2 linked regions of the Schizosaccharomyces pombe genome follow. The gene in region 1 interacts genetically with each later gene. Each region holds a gene or a part of one and is shown on either strand. Other genes may lie near its edges.

Evidence for each region.
Region 2: of rsv2 (region 1) and fzo1, changing one suppresses a phenotype caused by changing the other (phenotypic suppression), as found in Schizosaccharomyces pombe (one study listed by BioGRID).

What each region holds. Positions count from the first base shown.
Region 1 is NC_003423.3:3,526,790-3,543,263, reverse strand, and holds rsv2 (DNA-binding transcription factor Rsv2), read right to left. Parts: upstream 10,337-16,474; 5' UTR 10,334-10,336; coding exon 8,420-10,333; 3' UTR 7,976-8,419; downstream 1-7,975. Other genes in the region: SPOM_SPBC887.02 (ClC chloride channel), read right to left, coding at 1-1,761, 1,873-2,002; adi1 (acireductone dioxygenase family protein), read right to left, coding at 2,506-3,042; pth3 (peptide release factor), read left to right, coding at 3,572-4,060; cnp1 (centromere-specific histone H3 CENP-A), read right to left, coding at 4,301-4,663; RNase P subunit Rpr2, read left to right, coding at 5,381-5,704; signal peptidase complex subunit Spc1, read right to left, coding at 5,839-5,904, 5,960-6,046, 6,092-6,175; 3-hydroxyacyl-ACP dehydratase Htd2, read left to right, coding at 6,959-7,861; SPOM_SPBC1105.13C (uncharacterized protein), read left to right, coding at 11,076-11,504; hhf3 (histone H4 h4.3), read right to left, coding at 13,186-13,497; hht3 (histone H3 h3.3), read left to right, coding at 13,735-14,145; and 1 more.
Region 2 is NC_003423.3:592,196-609,141, forward strand, and holds fzo1 (dynamin-like GTPase fzo1), read left to right. Parts: upstream 1-2,170; 5' UTR 2,171-2,276; coding exon 2,277-4,553; 3' UTR 4,554-4,991; downstream 4,992-16,946. Other genes in the region: aly1 (arrestin-related trafficking adapter), read left to right, coding at 5,416-6,930; neddylation protein Dcn1, read right to left, coding at 7,233-7,988; rpl803 (60S ribosomal protein uL2), read left to right, coding at 9,086-9,847; protein new14, read left to right, coding at 11,119-11,361; rps1701 (40S ribosomal protein eS17), read right to left, coding at 11,509-11,901, 12,180-12,182; protein new20, read right to left, coding at 12,223-12,382, 12,538-12,725; P-type calcium transport ATPase Cta3, read left to right, coding at 15,976-16,946.

The sequences.
Region 1 (16,474 bases):
CTGGTGGAGTATCATAATTTAAGGTAAATGTGGTAGGGTGAATATAATCAAACAGGTCAAAAGTCGAATCAACAGGTGCTGAAGCACTTCGAAGCGGGTCTAGTCCAGTATTGTCAGTTGTTTGCATATTAGAACTCATTGGACGTCTATTCAGTAATTCAGAGACTTTATTTCTTGAAATGAACCCCTCAAAAAATTCAGTATCATTTTTTAAAACAACAAAGAAAGACTGTGAAGAATCATGCATGGCTCTCTCTAATTCCTCAATGGAACAACTTCTAATCGGCAGCCTCACCAGTTGTTCCGGAGAACGTACTGGAAAATTCAAGGGTATTGAAAATTTTAAAGAGTTGGAAGAAGGGAAGTAGGGTATGTTTCTAAACTGAATCCAAGCATCGTAAATGGATGTTTCAATAATGCTATCCGAGACCCATTTACTAATTAAAGTAGCTAGCATAAGAGGGAGAGCAATGTTTAAAGCTCCTGTTAGTTCAAAAAGAATTACTACCAATGCTACTACTAATCGGGTAGTTGAACTCAAAAATGCAATTGAACCAATCACCCCATAGATACTGGTACCTGCAAGCGATGGGAACCGGCTCTTCAAAAGAGTCCCAACAGCTCTTCCAATACATGCACCAATTGCCAACGACGGGACAATAATACCAGTAGGGATAGCTGCCCCAAATGTAGCTGAAGTCAAAAGAAGTCCCAATAATGCTGATGTAAAAAGAACTATTGCAGTTACCCAAAAGGTAGTCTCGCATAACACAGTTGACGAAGAAGGAGAACAGGAGTTGATAACTTGGGGGAACAGCTCCATTGGATTAAACAACAGCTCGCTTTCACCTAGAATGGCATAAGCCGTCAAGGATGTTATCAAAGATAAAAAAATAACAAAAAAAACGTTAGAAATCTTTGAAAAGCCTTTGGTCTTTGAAGCAAACTTCATGTTAAGGTAAATTAAAACAGATCCTAAGCATCCACATAAAATGCTAATGAATATAAAGGGAAGTGTATCTTTATAACTCCAACGTCTATCCAAAGAAACATAAGAAAGATATCCAACATCTGTGTGCCAAGACCTAATCAACTGTAGAGCTACCACAGAAGACGCAGAGCACAAAAACTCGTACCAAATGGAGCCAGTAAATAAGCTTGGAAAAGAACTAGAAGCTAGTTGTTCTAAAGCAAAAATAACACCACCAACAGGAGCATTAAAAGAAGCAGCAATACCGGAGGCCATAGCAGCAGCAAGCAATTGTCTAGTAAAAATTTCAGAATCAGCAAGACTTGGAGCTATTCTTTCAACTAAATATATTATATTTGTCGCTATATGAACAAATGGCCCTTCTTTTCCAACCCATAAACCAGATGCAACACTGAAACAAACAGCTAAAGATTTGGAACAAAGGGTTTTTATAGAAAAAAAAACGTTCATATCAGGGTATTTATAGCCACTCAAAATTGCTTTAATTGTCGGAATGCCACTAGCTCTAGCAGCAGGAGCTACTACATAACCTAAAGTAGTTGCTATGAATGCAAACCCGACTGAAACACTAACGTATATCAAACAAGAAACAAAAACGGAATGATTGTTTCTCCAAAAAAAAAATTCCTGACATTCATAGTCCTCCGTTAGGGTTGAACAACAAGTCTGTTTGTCAAAAAGTATATTCACAGTACAATACCCTTCACGAAAACTGTTAAGTAATGATGCGAGAGCATTTAATAAAGCAGCTGTTAAGCCGATAAATATACCTTCCAAAAATGTCAGAAATCAGATAAAGAGAATACAGTAAATCAACAGTCAAATAAAATATCACGTACACTACCAACATGCAGATGCATTTAAATGGTTGGATTACGTACCTGAAATAATGGAAATAATTGAATATTTGGTTTCTAAACCTAGAAACCTGAAACGGCCTGCAAGACGATTAGCACTTTTCTGCTCTTCATATCTCTCGTGAATCCAATCAATGAGTTGGTCATCCTTCATTTTAAGATTTTGTACCAGTCAATAGTTGTCGTTAGTTAACAAATATATAAATTCACCTAATAGCTTAAAGGAATAAACGTAAGAGTTCTGCTTGTAACTGACGCATTTAATGCTTGTTAGAGAGGTTAAGGATTCCGGGCAAGTAACTAAATAGTCTTCCGCAGTTTACTCAACATGGAAGTAATTTAGTTTTATCCTTAATATGGGGATTTAAAAAACAAAAAAATGACTAGCACAAAACGTTAAGCGGCAAAAGGTAGGCAGTGAGTAGGTAGGGACTGTTGTGTCGTAGCGAGATGAAAGAATTGTGTGTATTGAAAGCTGCATTCCAATAAGCAAATACAATCAGTAACTTAAAATAATATGATCATAAATGATTAGTGACTATATTTATTACTATCTTTATTGTACATTAAACCCTTATAAAGGAAGTTTCTTATTAATATCTAGTGTTAATCCATACGTAAGATTATTGATATAAATCAGTTGTTGCATATACCTAATTAAACATAAACACTTTTTTTAATACTGTTCAAATAACTTTTTCGTGCATCCAGTTCCTCGCTGGTTGAATCTGTGCGAGACAATGCAATCCATTTTGGATTTTCATGAAACAAGCGCATTGCGTGTATATAGTCATCAGTGGTCGTAGTAAAACGATGATAAATTCCAGGAGGAAGTATTATTAAGTCGCCTTTCTCAACAAAAATTCGAACCCATCTATCATCGACAGAACGGACATCAAAGTAACCATTACCATCGAGAATTAATCGAATTTCCTCATCTTCGTGCAAATGTTCTTCAAAGAACTTCTTTACCATATTGTCATAACGATCTCCAAGTCCTTTTCTACTAACAACAACTTCATCCCGATTTTTAAATCCATATTCTTTCATAAGGCCATCGGCGAAGGTATGTAGATCTCCATCATGATGTCTATAGGACACTTTAGCAGCTTCTAAATCTTCAGCTGAAACTTCAATCTTTGAGTCATTCGGCTTTCTTTGATCGCCTTCGTCTTGGAAAATGTATGCTCTCATTGATGTTATTTTTATGTTGAGTCACGAGCAAATTAAAGAAAATTAAGACTTTTTTAAATTATTGAACGAAAAACTTTAGACTAAACAGAAGAGGTGTCAATTGGAAAGCAGGCAAAACACTACTCGAGTGAGAGTAAAGGTGAAAATAAAAAAAAAAAAAAAAATTCTTCTGTGCATGTAATGTAATACAGTATCTATTGCATTATGCCAAACAAATATTATTGGGGCAGTGTGACAATAGAATATTACATTAAAGAGTTTTAAACTTATGCAATAAGTGCGCAATTTTGTTCATCGATATTCCAACATCGTGAATTTTCTGCTAATTTAGAAGTTTCTGTTTTCTTCTTTTTTGTAACAGTAACCTTTGAGAAAAGCAATAATACAAAATCCCCTTATAACTTTTTAATGTATTAAGCAAGTTTCACGCTAATCAACCAGACCGCCTATTATCATTCCAAAGGACAAGGTTGTTTATTTTAGTCAAGTTTGTCTATTTATTAGCAGTAACACGTTTAGGTGAACATAGATGCTGTGCGCAGCACGAAAGTGTTTGAACAAAACATTTATTTCAGTAAGACTAAATGCATTTTCTTGTCTGGCAGAACTAAATTTTCGGCATACATGGTATTGCTCTAAAAAAGAAACACCTTATCAACTAGAAAGACTCCAAGAAGAAGATATTGAGGAAACATTTATATGTGGAAAGGGCCCTGGTGGACAAAAAATAAATAAAACTAGCATAGTGGCCCAAGTCAAACATATTCCGACGGGAATTATCGTTCGATCTCAAGACACACGTTCACGTGAACAAAATCGTTGTATTGCAAGGAAACGGTTAACGGAGAAAGTAGATGAATTCAAACACGGGAACGATAGTCTTTTAGCAAGAAAAGTTCAACGTATTGTCAAGAAGAAAAAACAGCGAGAGAAAAAAAGTAAAAGGAAGTATGGAAATAAGATTGATGACCAGGATTCCAGCCTGAATAATAATGAAGCGAAACAAGACGTGATCTAATTTGCGTTGCTTCGGTACTCACATGGCATTAACTAGGAGTGAGATTTATCATTCATTATGAGCATATTCGTACATTTTTTTTAATAATTCTTTGGTAGATAGCATGCTTAGAGTCTTATAATGAGTAGCTAAAGATCTGTCTCAAAATCACCTGATATCAATTAAACTGATCATACCTTAGCAATTCCAATTTCAATATGATTAAGCGTAAAACTATTTTTTTTTGTTGAATATATAGTGTCAAGCACCACGAATCCTCCTGGCTAATTGCATGTCTCGTTGCATAATCGTCACTCGTTTAGCATGAATAGCACATAAATTCGTATCTTCAAATAGATGAACCAAGAACGCTTCAGCCGCTTCCTGAAGACATTGCAGTGCCGTAGATTGCCAGCGCAAACCAACATCCGTTGAAAAATTGGCTACAAATTCTGAAGATATCTCTCGTACAATTCTTGAAAACGGGAGCCTTTGTATTAATAAGTCTGTAGACCTTTGATATTTTCGAATCTCTCTTAACGCCGTAGTACCTGGACGATATCTCTTTTTACGTGGCCGTGGAATAGGATCTCCAGGCTCAGCCATTAAAGATTTCTTTGCCATATTAAGTTGTTCCTATCAATTTCTTTTGGGAATAAAGGTTTTTAAACAGTAATTGTTGGAACAAATGCAAGAGCTCGATACAATGAGTTTTGGTTTTGACAGGGGTTTGACGCGTCGCGACTAGCATAGACTCTAAATTATTTAGCTCACTATTTAAAAATGTAAACAATCAAACAGAAGTTCTTTGTCAGAAAATACTAAAGCTACTGTTTTACAAGAAAATCATTAAAATACATGAAAATATTAGGCTCTTGTTCGTTCCACATCATCAGCTAAAAAGAACAAGTATTAATAATAGCTTACGAATATATGATTTCTCACTATTTATAGGTAAGAGAAATTAATCATATAAACCCAAGCGAAACTCAAGACCGATTTTTTTTTAATTGAATAAACATATGTGCTCTCTTTATATCTCGGTTATAATTGATCCAAAAGCCTTAAAAATTTATCGTACTCTTTTACAAAGAATTACATAACGCAGTTTACCGTGGAAAAACAAATTAAAAATTTGACCTATGGTAAAATCAGACTGCAACAAGCATTAACTATTTATTAATTAATTTAATGAAGGATTTTTATAAGAAACATAATTAAATTGTTAAGTTAAAAATAATTTTTTTGACTTTTGCATTCCATTATAAAAACGGAAAGTTGTTTGTTCTCTGTTTTGCAATTCCTTTAATAGCTCAAGTGTTTTAAACATAAACGGTCGAGATGAGTACAAAGTCAAAGGACCAACATGCAAGGGTATCATATTTATACCAGGCTTCGCAATTACTTTTTAGAAACGTTCAAGAACCTACATTGTCGAGACACTATATCTCTACAGCCAAGGATGTTTCACAAAAATCAGTAATGCGAATACACCCAGATATAAAGCGCACCATATGTAAAGGATGTAACTCTTTATTGGTACCAGGAAAGTCATGTTCAATAAGATTTGAGGAACCATCACGGAAAAATCCATCTATCGATCGTGTATTGTGGATATGCAAAAAATGTGCGTTTAAAAAAAGGTTTTCGGACAAAAGTTGTTAAAACATGTTTAGCATTACTTTTGGAATGAAAGATTATTTGTATTCTATAAAGCCGGAGCAACTTTTGTTTGGTATTTTGGTTCTTTAATTTCGCGAGATTGCGATTCAAGTAAAGAAAGATTCCCCATTTCCCGCTTACTCCTTTTTCTTTTGAAATTTTAAAGGGTTTTTGTTGTACATAGACCAAGCAGGAAGACACACCTATTTTTAAATGAATGTTAATATTACATGACTAGAAGCAAAAAAACTAGCTTACAAGAGCCACCAACGATGCTAAAATTAAAAACAATTTAATCACACAATAAGAATCTTGAACTAAATACCCATAAATGTACGAAATAACCTATAGATATATTAGTAAATAAATGAGATTTTATCCCTGACATACAGCACTTGTACATAGACCATAGTTCATATACTTTTGACACCTTAATTGTCCTGCAAAATCGATCGTACCTTCAAGATAGTTCATGGTATGCTTGCTCTTTCTCAAAACAGTAAAGTTGCTTTTTGTATTATGTGGTTACAACGAATGAATCTCGTTATCGTTCGGTTTACCATAATAACGTGTTGTAATCCAATAGCACGTTGTACATTGATGAATATGAAACAAAAAACAAGCAAAAAAAGAGGCATGAAAATATATAGGCAAATCGGTTGCTCCTTCATTTTCAATAGATGTAAATCAACACCTCAATGTCAAATTCGATTTGAAAATGAAAAAGCGGCTCATTGATGACCTATTAACATTATATAGAAATGATCTTTACAATTAACAGGTTAAGGTACTTCAGCGTTCATAAACGATTAATAATTAATAAAGATTCACCAACAAGGGCTTAATTTAAATGTATGTGACTTAAATCGTATATTAATTGCTTAGGTGGTTTTTTTTTTCATTTGGTGAAATTATCTTTTATTAGATGTGCGATTATCATAAATTTTGCTAGTACTTCATTGCTAAAAGAGGTCAAGTCTCCACTAACGGTATAAAACAAGCATTACACGTATACCTTAAGCAATTTGGGTCGTGCCAAAAGCAATTAGTAATGTGTAGCTGTTAAAGTTATTAGGTTCCATAAAATTAAGAGCTTATTGCTTCAAAGATTTGTCCTTTCCGATTTTAAAAGTTGAGGTCTTCTTAGGGATAATTGCTTCGGCTAATTTATAATAATTTCTAATAGATCACCTTCAGTATTGATAAATTGCCTACTTGAAAAGTCAATGTGCAAAGCGTTTCAGAAAGTAATCATCGATGTCAGCAAAGGTCGTTTTAAAGGATTTCTTATCTCAAGCGCCAATTGATAAGTTAAAAGCTACTTTAAGTGGTCATTTGCCTGTTAGTTGCATAACAATGGATGCTAAAATAACATCATTACAGCCTGGTTACCATTTTCTTTTTTTCTCTTTAGCATCTCCTGAATCAAATTTGAATTCAGATGGATATGAAAGTCTTTATTCCCCAAAGCCAAATAATCCTTTTTCTTTTAAGCGCCGAATATGGTTACATGGAGTCCTTCGTTTTCATAGACCTTTACATCTTTTCCAAACTTCGGAATGTCATGAATTGATTCAGGAAGAATCTGTGAAATCTCCATCAATTACAAAAGAAGTTGAAGCTTGTCTTCCAAAAAGTTCTTTTCTAACAAAGCCTACTTCAGAAAAACAGACAAAGCATGTATATATTCGAAGAAAAATTTACGACAGTCAGCATCAATTATGTATCGAGGAAGATAGAACATTAGCCTATTTAAATCGACAAGAACTGGCTATACCAAAAACTTTACGTAGCAAAAGTATTCCACAACACTCTTGGGTATTCACACCTACACCTATTATGGTGTTTCGCTATTCAGCATTAATGTTTAATGCTCATATGATCCATTGGAATGCGACATACGCTACAAAGTCCGAAAATTATCCAAATCTCGTTCTTCCAGGTCCTCTTCTAGTGACTAGTATGTTAGAGTACTTTCGTTCTGTTTATCCCCAAATGTCAAAGAACATGAAAAGATTTGAGTTTCGATTATTATCTCCCGCGTTTGTCAATCAACCACTACGCATATGTATCTCAGAGACAGGTAACCTATGGATTGATCGATTTACTACAGACCTTGATCCACCGTCTTTGATTGCTAGAGGCCGCGTCTATACCTAACATAACTGAAAAACAATAATAATTAATACCGGCAGAAAAAATATTTCTAAATTACAAATACTACTTACTAATATTAAAATTTAAGTATGTAAAACTAAATCAAATTACATGATAGGTATTCAATTTAAGGTGAAAACACACAAAATTTTTTATTAACATTTAACAGTAACTTGGTAAGAAAAAAAAAACAATATTAACCAATCCCAATAAAAATGAAAACAAAATATAAAAACACTTATGACCGTCCAAAATAAAAAAGGAAACCGTTAGACGGAGAAGGGGTTTGAAATTACACATGAAGCTTGAGGATACGATGAAATGAAGAGGCAAAATTAAGATGATAAATGTACATGAAAGGAGACAAAGGAAAAAGCACTTTCAAAAGGGCTGTGAAATAATAACGGTACCAATTTTTTTCTTGAAAATAATTAGCAAAATGCAACTTTTTTTAAAATTCATAAACAAGGAATCAATGAAGAAGCGTAAGAGGTGAAAAATGACAATAGATAATGCAATAACCTTTTTTTAATATTTGTGGCAGAAGAGACTCCTTTCAATTTATCTACCGTGTTTCACACGGAGATGCCTAACCAAGGCATCATGTCTACTGAAATGGCGTTGATCGCCACAAATCTCACATCGAAATACAGGTCGTGTCTTAGCATGTATCGTATCCTGGTGACGGATCAAATCATACGTCCTAGAAAACACTGTGTTACAAATTTCTCCTGTAACTCTGTTCTGAAGAGTACACCGAACTGGACCAATTTGTTTACCAAATTTAAACTTCCTACGCTTCCTCTGAGCACCCGTAGCAGTAGTAGAAGAATTTGTAGGAGTGGTGTCAACAGGAGCAGATCCGTTGGGGCCATCAGCAGCAGCACCGGTGATGCTTACTTTTTGGTTGGTTGGATTAGGTACCACGGAATGAGAAGACCTAGTATTGTAATACGACTTAACGTCATTTAGGTCATGAGTAGCAGCCGATTGAGAGTGAGGAGCGTTGGAACTGTCTAACTCTGAAGTCGGTAATAAGTTAGGTATATTAGCAGAGGTTTTAACAGGAGAAGTGAGTGGAGGAGAGGAGCTGATCGTAGTATTTGAAGGTACGACAACAGGAGGCTGTGAAGGAGAAAGTGAATGTGGATTTACCGACGTACCAAGCACCAAGGAGGGGCGATGCTTGGCATTGTATGATCGCGTTATCGGAGGAGACAAAGAAGGGATGCGTTGTTTAATAGATTCTTTATTGAAGCTGTCCTGCCGAACATCGGAGTGCATGTTATCATTGACCATAGATACATCCTTCCCATCATATATCTGAGCGGAGTTTTCTTGAGGAAGAAGAGAGTCAGCAGCAGCTCCCAGAGCATGAGAACGGCGTAACGCAGTGCTCGTCGCCGAGTCCTTCATAGGATGCGCCCGCACTTCCGGATTTTGTTCCATACGGGATTGAAGTCCCGTTGGAGATACAAGGGAGGAATCCTTGTTGTCGGTATAAAGGTTCTTAGAGGAATCAAAATTTTGGGTCTTGAGAGGATTGTTAAGGGTAGAGGGATTTGCTTGGTGTTGAGGTGAGACATCTTTTGAGACTCTGTCTGACTTTTGATTGTGACCCAGTGACCTTTTTAAGTCACTTCCATTCTCCAAATAATCGGTTGAAAAAGGACCACTAGGAAGAGAGGCGTCCTTTACAAGTTGTTCGGAGACAGAGTCACTTGCATCCATGGATATCGAGGGCAACGGTTCCATATCCAAAGGTGGAGAATTCATGGGAAATGGATTACCGTTGATGTCGGAAATCGCGCCAGTGCCATCAGCAATCACCTGACTAGGTAAATCGAAAGAGTTGGAGAAGGGCTGGTCATTAATGGTGGAAGCAGATGGAGTAAGAGGAGGAGGGACGGACATGCTTGCAGATGCGTTACTCCCAGCATTTCCACTGGGGGAACTGTTAGCAGTAATAATGTGATTCGTTTGAGCCGAGGTAGGTTCGTTCGACCCGTTGACAGGAGGTGTGGTGATAAATTGATGATTGCTGCCAAGGGACGAAGGGACACTTGGAAAGTTAGCAGCGTTACCATAGTCAGATGCTAAGGGATCAAATGGCATGTCCATCGAGGAATCGGGAATAGTGTCGAGGGAGAAGGGGTCCATTGTGTCAGCATCGTTGTAGACACGAATGGGAACGTTCATCATATAGTCCCAGGAGGACATATCAGATAAATCTGAGTTATTTTCTTCTAACGTAGTAGGGTTAAAACGCTTTAAATTGAGTTCGGGCATCGAGATTTGCTCGAATTCAGCATCCGAGAATGCATTCGGAAATACATTAGTCACAGAGCGACCATTCATTTTGGATTTACGATTTTGTTGCAATTGGGATCCATTAAATTGCCAATCTGGAGTGGGAAAGTTATCGTTCCCATTACTAGAAATTGATCTTGCATATGTGTTGTTTGTAGTGTCCATACTACCCAGCAAAGATGCGCGAGGCAATGTATATATAAAGAATGACGTCAAGCGTCTGATTGAAAAAACCACCCTTGTCAAACAACATTGGTTAGCAATTGACGTCGTTTTACATTGATTGAGCCAATCAGAGGCCGCCAATGAAGTAGCATGGAAATGTCAGAATGCGCTGGCAGTGCTGCTGATTCGTTCTTTTCAAATAAAAGCGCGTAATGTGTAAGCGAACCCCAATTACATTCCTTCAATCTGCGACTTGCGCTCTACGCTGTCCTCTCATATGGAAAGCGAGCTTCCAGTACTTAAATCACCTTATATATCGCGGTTAGTCATAACGCACTAATGAAGGAATACGCTGCAAGCTTCATTCCAAAAGCAATCATAGAATGAGGTCAAAATGAAGAGGCGGAGTCGGGGAAAGATGAGATTGAAGGATGAATCAAGTCCACGATACTTTTAGGTCATATCACGACGTTGATTTGCATCTTACTCTAGTTACTCGTACTTTAGAGATGCGATGGAATTGAGGATGTTTGGTACAACAAATGTCTTGTTTTTCGTTTGCGCCGTGTCACGCTACTCCTAAGATAGCAGCTAAATGAAAAGTCTAAAAACGCTAAAAAAATTTCCTCCCTACATGTTCAAGTCAATCAAGTGCTTCATGTTCCCGATCACCATATCGGCATCGCAATGCAGACCTCGATTGCTTACTTAAACTCGGTAATCTCGTCTTCCGTTACCCTACATGATCACGGAATTCATCAAGTCGTTTTTACTTTTTTTTTTCCTTCCCTTCTTTCTTTCGATGCCGATGATCTTCGCTACTCTGGGGGAGTTTACCGACGATCAAACTCATCATTATTCCACGCTTCCGTCGTGTGACCTTCTCCTTATTCGTGGAGAAGTTAAAGAAAATGCCAGATGCTTCTTGCATAACCCAAAAATTAGTCATCAGCATCATTCTTTCTGGTCCTTAATAGAAGGATGTTTGGAGGCGCTGCAATTTGGCTTACTAGCAATTCTTCAGGGATTATTTTCTCAGTTTGCATGGGAAGCCTGCTCTTGTACCTTTGCATGCATGCTTCTTACTAGCGAACGTACTGAACCGTCTTATCCGTTTTCCGAGATTACAGAGGTCAGTCGTGGTGGGTTGCACTTCGTTAAGTTGAATTAAGTATGCTTAACTCAGGTGAAGTCAATTTGTCGATGTCGATGAGATTGGCTAGTACACGAAGGGGATGCGGAGCTGCTAAGCAGAGGAGTGATTTAACTATGAAACCAATTCGTAGGATAAAGTATACTTTACCGATCGATATGGATGATGCAGATGTAGGAATCAATTATTCTACTTTCTTGTGAAAAGCATAACCCATGTGTATTATTTTCAAACAAGTCAAACAGATGGATAGCCAACACGCATATGACTGCTTACTCAAGTACAAATGACTTTTAGAGCATACCAATTTCAACAGACTTTTATCACTAGTGCAACTATCTTTTTATCAGTTGTAGTCTTTCAAACATCAATAATCACTGGCATTCACACACGGCAATACCAATCATTATGTTATTACGAGAACAACTCGTGAACAAATGGATTCCAGTGTGTTCTAGCATACACATAAATGTCTCGTCTTTCTACTTTATTATTTAGTCGATGAGTGGAACAATTAATAAACTTACCATTCAATATTGCACTGACAAACGTATACTTTTTTATATTTCTCTTTCTTTTCGTAGGCTTTACGTACTTACTCTTCCTTATTTTCCTCTGCAACGAAAAAGAGGATTGGATTATGGGCTTCGTCAAACGTTACAATTACAGAGTAACCTTGTAATAAGATGAAGTAAAATATAAAGTAAACGACGTGTAGTGATAAAAAATCTGTATTTTTGTCAAAGTGAACTTAATTGTTCAACGCGTTCTGATGTCATATGCCCAAAAATAATTCACCTACCCAAGGTAATTGAAAAATTTGTCAATACAAAACGAATGCTTTATAAACACAAAAGAAAACATGTCAGATTAGAGAAAGAGTCGTACGCTCTCATTGCTGAAAGCTTTTTATCCTTAACACTTTACTGGAATTTGTTAGTCCCGTTGACTATGTGGTTGTTAGATACAGATTAGGTAAATTCATTTATTGTGGTATTAAGCAAGGAGCGGAAGAAAGTACGTACTTTTTTACATTGTTAAAAGTTTTATTTGACGAAATTACAACACTTAATAAGTATCTAAGTATGCGATCGAGCTGATTCAATTTGATATCTCTCAATTAGAAAGTTGCGTATTACCTCACAACTACGATGTACCGTACAATTCACAATCTTCCTGGCTATGCAACTGTTTGCTATCAACTAGTCGCTTAGATAACCTTCTTTAACCCCATTCACTAGACACACTTTCCCCATACCCAGAAAGATGACACGAAGAACAGTGTAACGCATCAACTAGGTTAATTTGCTTAAGGTCGCACAAACAATTACCTAAAGAAAAACTTGCGCGTTTACTATATTTGTACTACTTATAAATATCACGATACGATTCGGGTTTAATGAACATTATATTAATCATTTCATTCAATAAATGTATTAATCACAAATCCACGAAGAAAAATTCATCTTCTTGTCAGATGGAGTATTCAGCCGTGATACAACGCGATATGAAAAATTTCTCACAAAGACCAAACGCCTTTTTGTCTATGAATTGCACTAGCAAATTGATAATGCTTCTTCTGATATCGCCCAGATGAAAAACATTCTCGTTTGGCATGTATATATAGAATAGTTATAGTGTACACATAAAATTGATAGACTCGAAACAAAAAATTCGGAGTCGGCAATTGATATCGAATTTAACCACCGAAACCATAAATGGTACGGCCTTGACGCTTCAAAGAGTAGACAACATCCAAAGATGTAACAGTCTTACGCTTGGCATGCTCAGTATAGGTGACAGCATCACGAATAACATTTTCCAAGAAGAGCTTGAGGACAGCACGAGTCTCTTCGTAAACTAAAGCGGAAATACGCTTAACACCACCACGACGAGCAAGACGACGAATGGCAGGCTTAGTAATACCTTGAATATTGTCACGAAGGATCTTACGGTGACGCTTGGCACCACCCTTTCCTAAACCTTTTCCACCTTTACCACGGCCAGACATATTGCACTATTAATATTAACGAAATAGAGTTACTACTATAAACAGTGCTTCTATTGCTAGTAGGGTATGCGGCATTTCACAATATATATTAATGCGCCGTCCCTATTAACTTACGTCAATTTAATTAAAGGGTTAGGGTTGTGATCAAAGTTGGATGTAGGGACATATTTATACAGCGTAATCTCCCTATAATTTGTTTTTATCTACACAGGGCAATTATCAGAACACTAGAAAATAATGGCTCGTACTAAGCAAACTGCACGTAAATCAACTGGTGGTAAGGCTCCTCGTAAGCAACTTGCCTCTAAGGCTGCCCGTAAGGCTGCTCCCGCTACTGGTGGTGTTAAGAAGCCTCATCGTTATCGTCCCGGTACAGTCGCTCTTCGTGAAATTCGTCGTTATCAAAAGTCTACTGAACTTTTGATTCGTAAGCTACCTTTCCAACGCTTGGTCCGTGAAATCGCCCAAGATTTCAAGACTGACTTGCGTTTCCAGTCTTCTGCCATTGGTGCTCTCCAAGAAGCTGTTGAGGCCTATCTTGTCTCTCTATTTGAAGACACTAACTTGTGTGCTATTCACGGAAAGCGTGTAACTATTCAACCCAAGGATATGCAATTGGCTCGTCGTCTTCGCGGTGAACGCTCATAAGCAACTTTACCAAATTGTGGTTGCCATCTGATGGTGTGATTTGGAATCTTTTGGTCGTCTATCCCATTGTAATCCTTCCCTCATTTACTTTGCCTTTCGAAACAAAATTTAACCTTGAGTGTTGTGGAATGTAACAAACGATATGCAAGTCTAATTTTTTGTTTCCGTGAGCTGCACTATCTATTTATATTTTTGTTTTCTTTTTTCGAGTTATACCGCGGACGTTTTTATTTTCGAAATGTATAGAAATTTTTAATTCTCTCTTTACGTCCTGCGCAATTGTGTAAATGAAACGCTGAGGAACTTCATCTGTATTCTTATATGCTATTTAATAGTAAATTAATTTTTAATATCATTATTGAAACACGATAAACTAAGGGTTGACCGTATTTGATTTTTTGTAGTATTTTTAAAAACTCGTATCGATAATTAATTAATTACTCGAAGCTGAACGCAGATTCATTAAATTCGGGGACATCGTCCGGTGTTGGCCGGATATCTTGTCCCATAAGAGTTTTTCCAAGTTTGGGGGAGTCGTGAGTTTTTTCCACTGCAGACTGCTTGTCAGTTACCATATAATCCTCAGTTTCAAGATGAGCAGTTGCAGGATTTTTTTGGAATTTCCAATTACGCAAAAGCCCAAGTGCTATTAGGTCACATCCTAATTGGCAATACACATTAGCATTATGCAAAACAAATCGATATTCAAGACTTTCATCAATTTGCACGTTGCTGGATCTTAAACATTCATATAACAAAATGAAGGCAGGATCATCAGACGGAAACTTATTTCGTACGGGTTCGTTAGTACTATTTCGTTGTGAATCTTTATTTTCGTGAATTTCTTGGTCGTTTTTATCGGATGTATAAAGTTGTATAAAGTCATTATCGCTGACCAGCGAGCGAATGGGAGATACCAAACTTTGCAAGGCCTTTTTTTCCTGTTTTAAAATAGTGAAACTCCAATTGGTGAGCCATCTATCGTTTTGAGATACAGCCAAAGGAAGTACATACTCGTTTATTAGCCTCTTTAAGGTCGGACCATCGTCGCCTTCATAGACTCGAGTCATTGCGATGGCTAATGAAATGCTTTTTAAATTACGGATACATACTTTTGCGGCATCATAGCAACTATCTGCCAAAAGAAAAAATGCAGAAGCATAAAAATATCTGTGCTTGCTTAAAAGTGCAAAAGCATTCTTGGATGCAACCACTTTCCACTTCTTTTTTGAAAAGTCATTCGAAAGCAACTTAACCGTTCGAGCTGATTCCTTATGCCAACTAGCAAGACGCCAAAGATCACGAAATACATTTATTTTGTGTAGAGCAATGTGATATAAACTAACATTCTCTGGGTTCCTATCGTCAATCTCAGCGTAATGATTGCGAGACAGCTCTAAAAATACATCTTTCAGTAGCTGCTCATTTAGCCAAAACGGTATCGCATATTCTTCAACAGCATTCCATAACAATGGTTTTCCATGAAGCTTTTTAGTGTGGTCCAACAGAACAGCTTTGTTAGAGCTATGAAAAGCCCACGCCATCTCTCGGGTGGGCAAGCTTGTTAATTGACGTTGATGTTTTGATAAAACGTACTGGTTTAGCATAATGCAATATCTTTTTCCGTTGAGGTCCAATGAATCTCGCAATGCTCTTGCCTTATTGAATGCCTCGATTAAATTAAGAAGTAAAAACTGAGATGATCGAGTGAGGGTTTTGACTTTCTTTACTTTTAATAATGCAGTCAACTTCTTTATCATTTCATCAATGTATAATCCTAAATGCTTTGAGACACTGGTCTCTTCAAAATCCAATTCCGCAGGATTTAGAATTTCCGCAGAATTTTGGCTGAGACTTTTTATTAAAAGGTCTTTAGAAATTTCTTCGTCACAGCAGTAAAACTCACTGCAGTCCATATTTAAGAGAAAATGCATATCTACATCATCTTTCAAACACAAGTAAAACCTTAGCAAAATATTAGTAAATAGAAAGGGTTGGTTTCTAAGTAAAAGCTGCTGCAACAATTGAGGATGAAAAACTGGTAAAATTCCATTAAGCTGGTATGCAAGATCAAAAATATTTTTTGCGGAACGTTTCAATGATGCAGGGAACAGTAAAGACTGATCTTCGGGAAGTGAATTATCAAAATAAAAAAGTCCGTTACCAATGGCAGTAACTAAAGTCCCATTATCCAACCAAGAAGAGTCAGATATTAATGAATTTGTATATTCTAAAAGATTGTATCTACGAATACGAGACCAACATGGAATATCGTTCATATAAGATCGGCGATTTTGGCACAAAAGAATAACATCATGTAGAAAGCCAA
Region 2 (16,946 bases), 2.9 Mb from region 1:
AAATATCTTCAATATGCGCTAAATAAAGAAAACAGTTCGTACAGTAAACAAAGTCAATAATTCGAAGCGACTAAATAACGAAAAATTTAGAATGAGACGGATATGAAATGCATTTTGAATTGACCCGTTTTCATTTGTACAACCACCATACATGATTATTCTCAACATTGTTTTTTATGAATGCGAAATAAGAAGTATTAGTTTAAAACATCAAGTAATTTTTTAACACGCCACCACGAGTGGACAATGTGAAGTTTACAACTTGTGCTAATTTTTTTGACTACTCAAAAAATTAAATATGCAGCACAAAACGAGAACTGAATTATATGCAAACCCTTATACACTGAGCCTTAAAATTCATGATTTTTTACTTGCAACAGAAAGTAATAAGTAGCTTAAAAAATTAGAGGAAATCTGTTAATCGTTACAGTGGATTCTCACATTAGACAATAACTACATTATTACGATAACAAATCATCGTTCTAAATCACAATATTTTATTATGCTGTTCATTATTTTGTAAACATTAATTTTGTTTGTATTAAAGTAAACCACTAAACCAAAGGAAAAAAATGATAATTAAGTTTGATTCATTAAGAATCAAGATGAAGAAGAAATGAATGCAATAAACGACAATGAAATTGTGAATTTAACAAGGCGAAACAACGAGTTTTTCGATTTCATTAGTTGATGATAACAGTCAATTAGTGAACTGCTATTTTAAAACGAATAAATAAAACCATTATTATAATATTCAATGCCCAGTGTATGTTATTCACGGAACCTTTCAAGCAATGCACTTGCTCATCCAATTCGTCAGGAAATGAAATATGCAATAAAAATACATGTGACATACTTTAAACAGATTTATGATTTGTTTGAGTAAATCACAATCATAAAGGCGCTTCTTTATTGCACATTCTTATGAAGAAAAGAAGCCTCGTGTAAAAAGCGACTTTATCATACAATTAGTAAAGTTAACAATATAATTAGGCTTCACTTTCGGGGTTCATCTCACGCAATGGAACAGCTGTGTATTCATTCACTTGCTGTTTGGCCTCATAACCTAATGATAATTAGCATACACAATTAAAAAGATATCATATTAAATTTACCCATCTTTCTGATCAAGTGTTGGATATGCCAACTGTAAACAATGATCACATCCAAGTTATTTTACAGCACTGGCAAGTTTCAACTTTCAATTGAGTAATTCCTTTCTTATTATTTACAATTCTTACCTGAATATGGAGGCAATGTACTTTCCTCCTCTGAATCATATTCTGGGAGGGGTCCTTTTTCCAAATCGATTTCATGATCTGTCTTCAATTCATCTTCTTCATCTAGAGGACTTTTCAAAGAAGTGTAATTATTCTTCATAATAATAAAATCATTCTTTATTTAATAAAATACATGCGCGAATTAATTGCTATGATTGCGACAAACCAAACAGCGAAATCAAGAATATTCACTTTGTAGTCCAATTCCAATCGCTTTAAAGACTTTTTAACAAAATAATAAAATCGTTCAAACAAATTTCCAACTAATTCCTTCAAACAATGGCATAAAAAAAGAAGAACGAAAAAACTGAACGAGGCAGTGAATTACTTCTGACACATTTATTTTGTCACTGCCCTTTTTATTCACCCCAACTTAGTTTTCCTTATACAGCATACTGTTAAAATTGGTTCGCTACGTTGCGTGTCACTAATTTCATATTTGTAAAATCATGTTTTTTAATATAGACATCAGTTAAGAACAAAGACTTAGAAGATTATAAATGGAATTAGTCGCTGCATCTCATTCCTCAGTTCAATTATTAGCTAAATCGGTGACTGATACTGTTAGGCGTCTTATAACAATAAATATAATATTGTCAGTTAACATAACGCACAACGCTATATGATTTATGTATCGCTAAAACAGATATCAAACGTCGTCGATGTCAACAGTATACGGTATACTTGAAATTTCGTTCCTACGTCTTATTTATGATGATACAAATGTAAATTTTTGAATTGTTGTGCTCAAGGATATAATAGAAATTTCTTTTTTAAAGCTTTATATGTAGAAAGATGATGTCTTTATTTTCTCATATTCATCTACTAATATGTTGCTCCCATTTTTTTTCATTATTCGTACTAAGGTGTTATGCAAACAGTATATGGTTGCAACGCATATGTATTAATTTTTAAGGAAGTTGCTCTTTGCATGAAATTTCCAATCTTTAGGGATCAAGTTCAATTATATAAACGCAAAATTCAACTTTAAATGATATGGAGAAGAGTGCAAGGCAATTATCAGTAGCCGAACAGAATGGTGAATCGGGAAGATTAAATAATGGATATACTTCAAACAATATTCAGCAGTATAAAGATGAAACTAATCGTCATCAGTTCGAGTATAACCAAAATAGGAACCAATTGTTAAGATCCATCCATATTATTCAAAATCTGTTAAATGAACTGGATAATTATGTAGATCGATCTGACTGTTTGTTCCACAGTGTTTGGAGAACCGATAAAGAAAAATCTAAATTTTCAGGAAATTACTATCCATTTAGTCCGTCCAAAATGAATGTGATCACCATTGATCTATCACTGCGGTCGTCGTCGACTGCTGATGAAAAATTAATCAGTCAATTGGGCGAGGAAGCTCATGAATCTCTACTAAAAGTACACATAGAGAAAGCAAATAAGCATCTCTTTTCACTTTTTTCTAGAGTAGAAGATACCTCTTCGAAAATCCTTATCACCGGGGATTTAAACGCAGGTAAATCGACCCTTTGCAATGCTTTGGTACACAAAGACATTCTACCAGAAGATCAACAACCTTGTACTGAGGTATTTTGTGAAGTGCACGATGCTGAACTCAATGATGGAAAAGATTGTGTTCACGCTATTCCTCATGGACTCACGTATAGTCATACTGACTCTTCAACATATAAAGTTTTTCCAATCGAGGATTTGAAACGCCTTGTTTATGAGACGGAAAATTGGAGCATGCTAATTGTATATGTCAATGATGGAAGACCGGCACATGAGAGTTTGCTTCACAATGGAATTACAGATATTGCACTTATTGATGCTCCTGGCTTGAATACTGATTCCATGAAGACAACTTCAGTATTTGCTTGCCAAGAGGAAATTGACGTTGTCGTTTTCGTTGTAAACGCTGAAAATCATTTTACCCTTTCTGCTACAGATTTCTTAAGAAACGCCTCCACTGAGAAATCCCACATTTTCATTATTGTGAACAAATTTGATAACATCAGAGATAAAGAGAGATGTAAACGATTGATCCTTGAACAAATTCATACCCTTTCTCCTGGTACTTTTGCTGACGCTAAAGACTTGGTACATTTTGTGAGCTGTCGTGTCGCTCGTGATCCAAATAATCGAGAGGATGCTCTATATTCTTCTTTTTTTCAGATGGAAAACTCTCTCCGTAGCTTCATTCTCGAAAATCGCTCAAAATCTAAACTTGCCCCGGTACGTAGATACTTGTCAGGGTTAGTCGGTGATATACTTAATATCTGCGAATATAACATAAAACTTATCGATTTTGATATTAATCACTTGCAACAACGTTTGACGGATCTTTCTCCAAAATTTCGTAAGGTAAAACATGAGCAGCAATTTACCTATCAGAAGAATGAATCTTTAGTTGAAGCGACTGTGCAATCTATTTCTCAGCATACACATTCCGAATTAGAAGATGCTATTGACTCATTAGGTTCTTTTGCTTCTGTCAAGTATTCTGGTTTTTTCTTTGCCTACCAGTATGCGATATCCGTAAGAGACGCCATGCAACAATATTTAGAAGAAAAATTGTTGGAGTCAGAAGATTATGCTCGAAAGAGGACCGAAGAAGCTGTCTTATGTATTCAAAAAGATGTAAAAGATAATTTTGACTCCGCCGTCCTTCCAGTCTTTCATGCCAACCAAATGTTTATTAAGAAACATAGATTGCAACTGCAGAAGCATTTTCGATTTGAACTTGGCTTGCTTGATTTTATAGATCTAGACCTTACTGAGAGATTAGGAACCTGGAGCGCTTCATTGAGTACTATTCTCTTGGTCCTTGGAAAAACAACCCCTTCATTTACAACGCTTGGTGCATTTACTGGAAATCTTGGTTATCCAATATTTAAATATTTTCAAAATAACTCGCTTCAACACTTATTGGTCCCGGTACTTGGTTTAGCAAGTATTTGCGTTTTTGGGTATGTTATTTACGATATACCTAGAGCACTTCCTCTTAAAGTTGCGGAAAAGATAAAAAAATCTTTAAGGGAGACAGATTTTTGTCACAATGCTAGTATTTGGATAGGTACAGAGAGTCGTAAAGTTCTCAATATTCCGTTGAATGATTTACGAAGAATGTTTCACCAACAATGGGATAAGCAGCGCGAGACTATATCTGTCGCTGAGAATGACTTACGAATTTGTCAAAAAGCAAGAAAGTTTTTTGGTGAAATAGAAAGCCGAACTCGTGAAGCTAAGAAGAAGATAATGATGGTTCAATTGGAGGGATGTGATATAAATTATTAGCAGTACGGGCTGAGGCTAAGTTTTAAAAAAAAAGAAAAGAAAATTGGAAGTGGCCTTCCTTACTGAAAACGATATACTCTTCGAGTTTATGTTTGATGATTTCATCTTATATTTTACATTCCAAGATTAATGAATTCAAGATACATCAAATTTCCATTTCCGAGTAATCATCCATATTCAATTTCGTAGCACGAATGCAATATTGGGAAGCATGGCATTTAATATTTTAATTCTGCTGAGGTCAATATACTTCAACTACTAAAGCCATGAGTTTTTTATTTAGGTTTCTGATGTCTTTCAAAGTCGATAAGAACATTTTATAAACTGGAATTTTCCTCAAGTTATATTGCATCCACTCAATTCTTTCATACATAAAATGTTTATGTCAAAATGTAATGATCTAAATTATAAAATCTATTTAATAACACATCTCCAAAGTAGAACAGAACTTGATATAAGACGATATAATGATTTTTGATAAATATCATCATTATATGGTTATAAAATGTATGCAGCACATCTACTAGCGTTACCGTGCTGGCAATTTCTGAAAAGCCCCTTATCACAATCTTTTTTTGAATTGCTATCTGAAATTTCATTTTACGGTTTTTATACATATTTTGGAAATATACCAATTTCTTTTGGTTACAGAGCCGCTTGTTCCATATTCTTACTTCTTTGAGCGACGATATTTCAATTAGTTAGTGTATTTTAAAAACAATACGCTGTCATTTAAGCTGTGCATTTTTTATCTTTAATTCATTTGTTCATCTCGATTTTTAGGCCTCTGAAGTACGCCTTGCAAGGTGCTTGTTCTGAGATACATAGTTGCGAAGTACTATCATAGTGTGTATCTCGTTTGATGTATATTCCCAATCTGAGAAATTATCACGACAAGGTGTTTCCTTACGGACCTTCTTCCAATGGCTACAACCCTGTAATTCGCTTGACTGATAGAACCACACAGCCTGATCCCTCGCAACATATATACCAGGAAGAGAAAATTAGTAAATGTGAAGGTCTATCATATCGAGCTCGTGAATGGCTTCTGCTTTCTTCTAACTCTAATGCCAGAGTAGCTATTGCGCTTGCTGAACCTGTGCTCTATTTACCTGGAGCGACTTCAAGTGAAATTCAAAGTGAACATTCAGCTGTTTTGCGTGGATCTTTGTGCATTCAAATTTATAAGCCTGTGAAATTGAAAAAGATACAACTGAGCTTTAAAGGAAAATCGAGAACAGAATGGCCTGAAGGCATTCCTCCAAAACTCTTTGACACATATGAAGAGAACAGTATTATGAATCATTGCTGGGTATTTTTTCATTCTGAACAGAAAGTGGATGAGAATTCACATGGTGCAGTGTGGTACAAAGTTTTGCCTCATTACGCAGATACCGCACACTATCCCCGCAGTATGGAATGCTTTTACCCTGGAGAATACGTGTATAATTTTGAGCTTCCTATCTCTTGTACATATCCAGAATCTATACAGACCGATATGGGTCGTGTATATTATTTCTTAGAGACATTGGTGGACAGAAGCAGCACCTTCTCTGGTAAGTCCACCGGCAGGATTCCCATTGAATTAATTCGTAGCCCGTGTAGTACTAGTGTTGCGACTTCAGAACCTATACTTGTCTCAAAGAGTTGGGAAGATAGGCTTCACTACGAGGTTCAAGTCGGTGAGAAATGTGTTGTAATGGGTCAAGTAGTTCCTGTCAACTTTAAATTCACCCTCTTGGGTGAAGTCAAGTTTCATAAACTTCGCCTTTTTTTAATGGAGCGAAGATATTATTATTGTCGCCAACGTTCAGTCCGTCGAAAAGAGAAAACCAGACAACTACTTCTGTATGAGCGTAGTGCTCCAAAGAACCAATGTTTGCTCTCCGATTGGAAGCAGGTTAGACCTGATGTTTACGAACTGTCTGATCAGGTACGTATTCCTGGATGTCATGACATGGCTGCCAATATTGTGCATTTCGATACTACGTATCCAAACATTAAAATAACACATACTGTGCGTACAGTACTTCGCTTTTCTTGCGAAAATTCTCCTGAATTAATGGGCTCTGCAAAATATTTGGAAATCTATATTGATTCTCCTGTCCGACTCTTATCTTGCAGATGTTCTGATGGTTCAACTATGCTACCTGCGTATTGTCCTATTATCCCCTCTAGTGAGGTAAATTTTTGCTCAATCGACAACAGAATCATTGCTGGTATGAACAGGGATCTCGCACTTGATTCTGACATTATCGGAAATTCTCCACCATCCTTTGATTCCTGGACCGCTGTCCCGTATCAAGCACCACCTCCAAAGTACGATGATATTTTTCAAAGTGGCAGCAGTCATGATGAAAATCATGATGACAACTAGTATCTATTATTTATCTGTGATTTATTATCTATTTGCATTTTTGTCTTGCCTTGTATATAAACGTTTTTGTTATTATATTTTTTTTCGCACTTGCTATTTCCATTGACTGTTGTACATGTTCTTTTTATAGTTTCATTAATATATTCATTATTTTTCTTATTATTAAACATATGTGTCTCATTACTAAAATGTTTTTAGGGTTAAACTAGCAGCAGTTTGCTGTAGAGAATTATTGGGGTGTAAGAGTTTATTATTTTTTCATTGATGTCATTGAAATCAACTTACAGAAAAGCAGTTATTTGTTAGGAGCTGCTGTTTTTATAACCGTGTTCTCTATAGTAAGACACGAACTCGTCTATGAGGGTTGGCCACGCACCTTCAAAATCATAATTAGAGCAATTGGGATCTGATTTAACAAATACACTAAAATCCCATAATTCATTCCACGTATCCTTTGGCAGAGATTTTTCGATAATAGGGGAAACTTTTAAAAAAGCAATCCAATCATCCAGAAGAGGAAAAGTATCTTTAAGAAGAATCTGGAAAAATTCAATGGCAATGGAAGTGCTTAAAGTCTTCTTTCCTTTATCACATGCAAGCGGGTATGTGTAAATATAAATGGCTTTTTGAAGGGATGCATCTGACCTCCAAACTTGCACTTTTTCTTTTATGGCAAGTTTTAATTGATCAAGGCTAGTTGTTGAGAGATTGAGAGCACCTTCAACAAAACTTTCTCGATGGAATTCTCCCATTCGCGGGGACTTTAGGAAATAAGAAACAAGTAGAGTTTCAGGATCCTCGAGTGAAATGTCTAGCGCCGTAAATAATTGCACCGAGCCATCAAGTTCTATCAAATCTTTATCCTCTTTAGAGGAAAATTGACTGAAAACATTGTTTAATTGCTTTTCCGCCTCTTCTCTAGATTTTTGCTGTATCCATTTCGTGTAGGCCACATCATAATCAAAATTATACTTTTTAAGCCAGCTGAGAGCTGCCTTAGAAGAAGTTGATGTGGCTTTAGAAAATGCTCTAGTCAAAGATACGGTATCCGGTTTCATAGGTTTTTGATTGCTATTGTATATACACTTAACTGGTAAAAGTAGCTGTATAAGTTTTTGAGAAATAAACAGACTGAATTTAGCAAAAATGTAAAATTTGAGCACAACCGGTTGACCAGATTTTCGAAAAAGGGAGACAATAATCAATTTTAACACCGTCAAACAGATTTGTATCTTGAGAGAAAACACAATCCACGGCTAACACAGAAAATGAGTATTATACGGAACAAAAGAGTTGAGTTAGTAATTTGGTTTTATATGCTTAAGCTGAGAGTTAGCGAATGGAAGTACAAGCAGCAATTAAGTGATTGTCTGTAGATAACTATTGGTGTATGTACAAAAACATCTGAAAACGGAAATAGTTAGTTTAAAATCTATAGTTTCACAAGTCTACTTTAAATGTTATTTTTCGAAATTCTTACCTTTTAAATGTACTTATTTACTATTACGTTGCATTTTCATATCAGTACAAAATTGTCCAACTCAATTTTTTTTTTAAGATTTATGGGTCAAACATAAACGATGCGAAAATTTGTGTTTTTTTATTGAAAGAAAAAAAGAAAATTTCGGTGTACTCACTCTCTTTCCAAAGTTAGTTTACCAAGAAAACTTCTCAACTTCAACAGAATGGTACATGCTCATATCGGCTGAAAAAAAAATATATTTTCTTAACTAATTCATATTCATAAGATTCAAATGTTTTCGTAACTACAATATCGTTCTGTATACTCTGTTATTGTTGCAATTTCTCAAGTTTGTAAAATTTGTTTAGAAACGTAAATTCGTTCCTCAGTCTGATTTTCCTCGTAATAATTAAGTTCTTAACCTTCTATTACTATAGTTTAGTATAGATAGCATAAAATTGCATTTAAACGAATAAACTCAACAATATATCAAAATATTGCAATTATTTTCAATTGCTCTGTCACCTCTTTATTCCGATATATTTGGAGTTTGCAATAAATCAACAGGGATATTGTTTTCGAATGTTTCAGTAACCCTACCCTGGTCGTTAAAGCAGTCACATGTACACTGTTTATCATCCAAACATACTGTTGAAGGTCCGTTAGGAAGTTTTCTATCGCCATCTAACAACCATGGGACGTGTTATTAGAGCTCAAAGAAAGAGTGGTGGAATTTTCCAAGCTCATACCCGTCTTCGTAAGGGTGCTGCTCAGCTCCGTACTTTGGACTTTGCTGAACGCCATGGTTATATTCGTGGTGTCGTCCAAAAGATCATTCATGATCCTGGTCGTGGCGCTCCTTTGGCTAAGGTTGCCTTTCGTAACCCTTATCATTACAGAACCGATGTTGAGACCTTTGTTGCAACTGAGGGTATGTACACGGGCCAATTTGTCTACTGCGGTAAGAACGCTGCTTTGACTGTTGGTAATGTGCTGCCTGTTGGTGAAATGCCTGAGGGTACCATCATTTCAAACGTTGAGGAAAAGGCTGGTGACCGTGGTGCATTGGGTCGTTCTTCGGGTAACTATGTTATCATTGTCGGTCATGATGTTGACACTGGCAAGACCCGTGTCAAGTTGCCCTCTGGTGCTAAGAAGGTTGTCCCTTCTTCTGCCCGTGGTGTTGTCGGTATTGTTGCTGGTGGTGGACGTATTGATAAGCCTTTACTCAAGGCTGGACGTGCATTCCACAAGTACCGTGTCAAACGCAACTGCTGGCCTCGTACTCGTGGTGTCGCTATGAATCCTGTTGATCACCCTCATGGTGGTGGTAACCATCAACACGTTGGTCATTCTACCACTGTTCCTCGTCAATCTGCTCCTGGTCAAAAGGTCGGTCTTATTGCCGCCCGCAGAACAGGTCTTTTGCGTGGTGCTGCTGCTGTCGAAAACTAAGCCATATATTATTCTAGGGCCTTTTAATCTTTCTATAAGGTTTTACACTTTTTCCTTCCTTCCAGTTCTTATTATCTAATTCATCTGGTATCTCATTTTCATACTTCTTTCGCCTCTTAGAATATAGTTGAATTTGTAGAAATCGTAAGCTTTGTGTTTACATTTGCTGTAGTGCCTTGTAACCCTTCAAAGTCCGCTTGAAGTTGAAATAGACGGTTGGATGGTAATAGTCGTATTCAAAGAGAATTGTGATAGTGGTTCTAATTTATTTTATGAATTGTGACTTACATTTACTGAGCATTAAGTGTAAAGATCCATTACTTTACCAAATGAGTTTATTTCTATTTCTTATATAACTCCAATGCGCCTCAAATACTAGTTTGTTCCTAATGGCGATAAGAGTACATGAATGACATCCTAACAGAAATATAAAATTAAATACACTGAACAAGGATACAAATTAATGTTTAAATCATTAAGTATAAAAAAAAAAAAAGTATAGTAAATATTCTAATTGTTTTGCTAGTTAACTTTTGTGCGCTTGGTGTGTGTATTTACGAAATATAAAAATTAAAAAATGAACTCCCACTGCGAGATTCGAACTCGCAACCTTCCGGTTAAAAGCCGGACGCTCTAAGCCGATTGAGCTAAACGGGACTTGTTGGTATGTACAAATAATAATTCTATTTATCCCATTTTCTTTCATAAAATAAGTTTATTTCTAATAAATTTTTTTTATACATTTAAGTATTGTTTTTGTATGTGCATTTTTTATTCATTTGCCTGAAGTAAAAATTTTAAAACCATGTTTATAGTATATGGATTGATGTTCATCAAAAATTAAATTCCGTTTAAAAATTGTTTCGGAAAAATAAAGGGATTGTGTACGATTGCTGTAAATGTTAAAAAGGAATAGCTTATTTATTTTAATAAAACATGCAAAAAATAAAAATAAATAAAAGGGATAGTTGGCTCTGTTTTATTTATGCTCGTATATCTCTTTTATTTTTTAAAAACAGAATATAATAGGTACAAGAGGTTGAGCATGTAAACGATGTCGTAAAGATGTTTTTGGGTAAAAAAAGGGTCATTAATAATAATTTTAATCATGATGAATTTCCTTGGAAATTAGACATTCATCTGCCACTGTTTGACATGTTGCTGTGTTGATAAAAATTCATTTAAGGACAATTGATACGTTTTAGAAATGAAAATGTTTATTGCACAAACAAAAATATAATGAAAATGTTTATTGCACAAACACAAAATAAATGCAAAAAAAAGAAAAAATCATTGAAAACTTAGAGAAAGCAGGTAACACATTTCATTTAATTATTAAATGTAATACTATTGCACGGATACTAAAAAATTTATCAACATATGCTATATTACTCAATTCCAACATATTAGAAGAACATGTTGATCTGCTTCTTATATATCTCTCTACTCAAAGAATGTGGAAGCTAAATAACTTAAAAAAAACACTGCAATATAAGGGAAGCAAAAAAAAATAGCCTTACAATACGATGAAATTTAAATACAAAAAATTCGCATTGAATAGTATTTTAATAACTACATCAAAGGAAAACAAAGATGAAGCCAAGTAATGGCAAATTATGCACTGAAAAGTATAAATGGACCCATTACGACCGAAATTTCATTTACTGTCTGCGACGGAAACGCTCTTGAGGGGCAGGAGCAAGCACACGGACGGGAATTTGATCGTAGCCAAGAGACTTAAGCATGTCCTTGGTGTCTTGGTCAACGTTAACACGATCGACCTCAAGCTCAGAAACTTCAGGAACGTATTGATCCTTGCGTTCACGCTCCTCTTCTTGAAGCTTGAAGGAGATACCACGAACGGGACCACGTTGAATACGTTTCATTAAGTGAGTCGTGTAACCGGCAATTTTATTACGAAGACGCTTAGAGGCGATGATAGCGACTTCGTCAACAATTCTCTTGTTGGTTTGGAAATCAAGAGTGAGACGAGGGTAATATTTTTCAATTACCACACGGGAAGCTCTCTTGGTAGTTTTGGTACGTACACGACCCTAGAGGAATGTTAGTTATGCACAAAAAAAATCAATTTCGTAGATAAACGTAAGGATTAGGATTGCAAAGAGAAGCATGAATGAAAGAAAAAAAATTTTATGTGTATTCAAATGGACCATGTGAAGAGAACCTACGTTTAAGTAAATGTTTATATTTGCCGCATAGAAAAAACGTCAATTTATGGCTTTAGTAAGCTACAAAACTAAAGAGTAAATTTTGTTCAAATAGACCGAGAGCTTCGACTTTGCAACTCCAACCATGCTTTATAACTACTTACCATTTTGAAGTTATTCGAGATGGAAGTGGTTGAATTCCTTTGGTTATTCTTTCAAGTTAGAAACCGACACTGTGACTGGTTTTTCATTAACTAGGGTAGGGTCCACATATATGTAACCGGGCGCCGCTTCTAAAGCGTATGCACATTCCAGTGTACATCTGCGACATAAAAGCTGTATTCGTTGTTCGTAACCTCCGTCGCTTCTGTTGTGATGGTTAGTGAATTAATGTGTGGAGAAAATTAAATTTTCGTTCCGAAAATCAGTAAACAAATAAAAAATTTCCACATGTATGATCAACCAACAACAAACCAGGTGCTTATGTGTTTATATAAGGAACGATAAGTTAAAACAACTTACCTAGTAATGTAATATTTGTTGCCTGTGGAGAAATGTGCTATATGATTTAATTTTTCGTCCACAACATGGCGTTTATCTAGTTGCCGTTGCGGAAGACGAGTAAGAGAGACATGTATGGTTAAAAAAAGTTGACCACACGGGCAAAAATATGAATAGGCTTTAAAAGAATCCTTTCCTTGATTACTCATGAAGTGAACGATCCTAAGAAGATGTCGTTTTATAATAGTCTTGCAGTTTAAGTTGTGTGTAGCAGATCAGTATTACTATAACGATATCGCAGTTTTATCAATTAGAACGAAAATTACGAATTACAAGGTATTGAAATTTTTGTGCGCAAAGTTTAAATTGTTCAAATTTTCGGTACAGTAAGATAAAAAAAAAAATTTTGTATCTCAATACTAGACTGCTTGTTATGTGCGAACCTCCGATGTCTTCTAAAGAGAGAGCTACAGGCTTAGTTGAGAGGCGTGAGTTGGCGAAATTTGCTGCTTATTAATTCAAGCTGAAATGAGTGAATGAATAAAGGGTTTGAGTGTTAAAATTGCCGACCTCTAACTAGCAGCAATACGAAATATAGAATAGGTAATAATATCCAATATTTCAATTAAATAAGCATTTGCATTCTTTATATAGCCTACCCATTGATGAAGTCGCACATTACGCTTGTCGGCGGATATCGTTATATAATTCCATTTGTAGTATATATGTTTATAGCTAATTTCATTGAAATTAAAGAAGGGGGATTCTATGGAAATGATTTTTTAAAAATTAAATTTTTAACCAGAGTTCTTTGATTCGTGCCAAATCCACCCGTGCATCTGTTGTAACTGCGCATTGAAATTATTCGTACCTTGCACTTTTCCTAGTATGAACGAATATATAGTCTCATATGGGAGTCAATCAAGTACAAATGGATTTAGGAAAAGGTGTTATTGCTTAATCGGCTTCTGCTCGAAACCGGTACATCTATTTACTTAGCCCACAAATGATTTAAAAAAAAAACACAGTAAGAACTCATGCCAAAAGCATTTTTTTTGAAACTAAATGTATTACTAATGTATGTATCTCAAATTTTGTAAATGTGCTCCTTTCAGTTAAATTCTCAAAACATCCTTAAAAAGATTTTTGGTATATTCTCTTATATAGTTCCCCGCATATGCTCGAAGCAAAGTTCGCAGTGTCTTCTTTTTAGAGTTTTCTATTTACAATTAACAGACAGGCTAGATGAGAACACCTTTTTTCAAAACAATCTTCAAGTGCTGCAACAAGCGATAAGTCCGAAAACATATTAAAGGTTGCTGTTTTGTTCCTTCATTATTTTGCACAGCAGCATGTGAGCGAAAATTGGCTTTTTCTTGCATTACATCAGGAAAATTCAATAATAAAAAAAATGACATTTCGGAGAAACGAGCTGATGGCCATGTTACCGGGCATATCGTACGAATGGTTTTGCAAAACGATCTAATCAAATGTCGAAGATATCTCGCACGAATTCAAAACTTCGATTAAAATCTCTAACTAATTAGTAAACTAAAGATAGTTTTTTTGTGCAAGGCGCTTCTTTCATTTCATCTACACATACTCTCTAACTTACTCACCCGTCTAATGCGACATAGCGATACGCTAAGTAAGTTTCTTGCGTTTCGATAGATCTTACATACCTTATCTTATCTTATCTAATGTCGCAATTAGTGGAAACTATCGCAGAGTGTGCAGAATATTTAAACAAATGTTACCGATATTAATTTTGAACTTTAATAAGCGTAAAGGAAATTCAGAGCCTAAAATTTCCAAAAAGAACAAAAAACAAACAAATTTGGCGTGATAGGACTGGAATATGGGTCCTTTCTACTTCCATCACAAAACTCCGATCTTCGGTCGGTTCCCCATATTTCAGCAATTAAGTAACACATTACTTTCAAAGAAATAACATGTTACCCTTATCGTAATTATGTTACCTATAAAACACCGACATGTAGCCACCTTCGTAATACTTATTAGCGTAAGGAGGATCGGCATATGAAAATTGCAAAAGTATACGTAAACAATTAACACTGCAAATGACTAAGCCTCAATCTTGGCAAACGTTTCAACGTTCAGGTTGCCTCTTGGATTTCATTCCTTGGTTAGTTTCTCTCAAAATTTCTCGGTTTTTTTGACATTTTTTTTTCACTCTGAGTATTCTTCTCCTCTGTCATGGAAATCCACACTTCTTCTTCTTTAACCGAATAATCTTAAATGCTAAATCGTCCTCTCATCTTCGCTTCCCTTGAATAACAACACTCCGCCATTCGTCATTTGTTACTCCGCTTGATAATGTCAGCTACTATGATTTACGTAATTTTATAGTTAAATTCCCCAGGCAAGCTTTGCTGCTTATTGTATCTCTAGCCAATGTATGTTGAGGAAATCAATGTCGGAGTCATTGCAATCCGACACTCTGATATCGTTTTTCTTCCAAGCCGTATATATACTGCTGCTATTCCTCTCACTTTTCTCTATATAAAATATTCTTTAACTAAAAAGTAGTAACTCGTCCTTTTTTTTTGAACATTTACTACCTGCTACCTGATCTGAGCTAAAGATCTGATAGCCCCTTGACGAAGATAACATTACGAGCTTCGGTTTACCGTGTTAAGTAAATTAAGCTCCCCTGATTATACTTTAATTATCACTCATTTTTCAAATTCTCTCGATCCCCTCCATTTTAGTTTAACTCTTTTTTTCCCTCTTCAAAATTCCCCTTTTCGTTAATACACCTTCTTGCGGTCTTTTCTTTTTCCGTCCTGTGTTTATTTGTTTATTTGCCTTTCCACTTTTTGTGTTTTGCTAGATCTCTGTATTTGGATTTGCGTAGTACGCAATTAAGTGAGCTCGAGTTTAATTTTAAAATAATACGTTAATTCCCCAAAAGGATCTCATTTGATCTGATCTGATCTGCTGTCCCTTGTTGATCCTTGACTTTGCGTTTGGTTTTTGAAAACCCACAGCACAATTTGGTATTTTCTTTCTTTCTTTACCTTTTCGCATTCTAATTATTATTTCATTACACTCCCTACGCCTCTATAATTTCTGTTTACTGAGCGTGCGTGTGAGAATATTTGTGTGTGACCTTGTTTACATCATCTACACGATTTATTTACTAATTTCGCTTCCAATCTTCTCTGCTATTTTTAGGTCAAGCATCGTTCCATTAATTGTTTATATACATCTTTGAGCAATTTATTTTTAAAACAAAAAGTATTCCTCTAACTATTCCTATTTCCTCCTTCTCCTCACTACCGCTTTTTTACTTTTATATTCAGACATAAACCTTTTCCTTCCTACATTTCTTTTGGAAAACAAAACCAGTTGCTTTTTTGATTTTACTTATATTTCTCCCCTTCTACTCATCCCGATATATTCTTACTTCCTTGATTCAATCTCAAATATTGTTCAATGGTAACCATTAATATCTCGAATCCCGTTTATTTCTCTGACATTAAAGATGTTGAATCAGAATTCCTTACGTCTATCCCCAATGGACTTACCCATGAAGAGGCTCAAAATCGTCTTTCCGAATATGGAGAAAATAGACTGGAAGCCGACTCTGGTGTCTCAGCCTGGAAAGTCTTGTTGCGCCAGGTATTGAACGCAATGTGTGTTGTCTTGATCCTGGCCGCCGCTTTGTCTTTTGGTACCACTGATTGGATTGAAGGTGGTGTCATTTCTGCAATTATTGTTCTTAATATCACCGTTGGCTTTATCCAAGAATATAAAGCCGAGAAAACTATGGACTCATTGCGAACATTGGCTTCTCCTATGGCGCATGTCACACGCTCGAGTAAGACTGATGCTATTGACTCCCACCTTTTAGTTCCTGGGGATGTAGTCGTGCTAAAAACTGGTGATGTTGTACCCGCTGATCTTCGGTTGGTGGAAACGGTAAACTTTGAGACAGATGAAGCATTGTTGACTGGTGAGTCGCTTCCAGTGATAAAAGATGCACACGCTACTTTTCAAATGAACGAAGATGTTCCCATTGGTGATCGTATCAACCTTGCATATTCCTCTTCCATTGTGACTAAAGGTCGTGCCAAGGGAATTTGTTACGCAACCGGTATGCAAACGCAAATTGGAGCTATTGCAGCTGGTTTAAGACAAAAAGGAAAGCTCTTTCAACGTCCTGAAAAAGATGAGCCAAATTACCGTCGTAAACTGAACAAGTACTATCTTAAAGTCACTTCTTATTATGTTCAAAGGGTTTTGGGCCTCAACGTAGGAACACCTCTTCAAAGGAAATTAACTGTTCTTGCTTATATTCTTTTTTGCATTGCCATTATACTGGCCATCATCGTTATGGCCGCCCACAGTTTCCATGTGACCAACGAAGTTTCTATTTACGCTATATCCCTTGGTATTTCCATCAT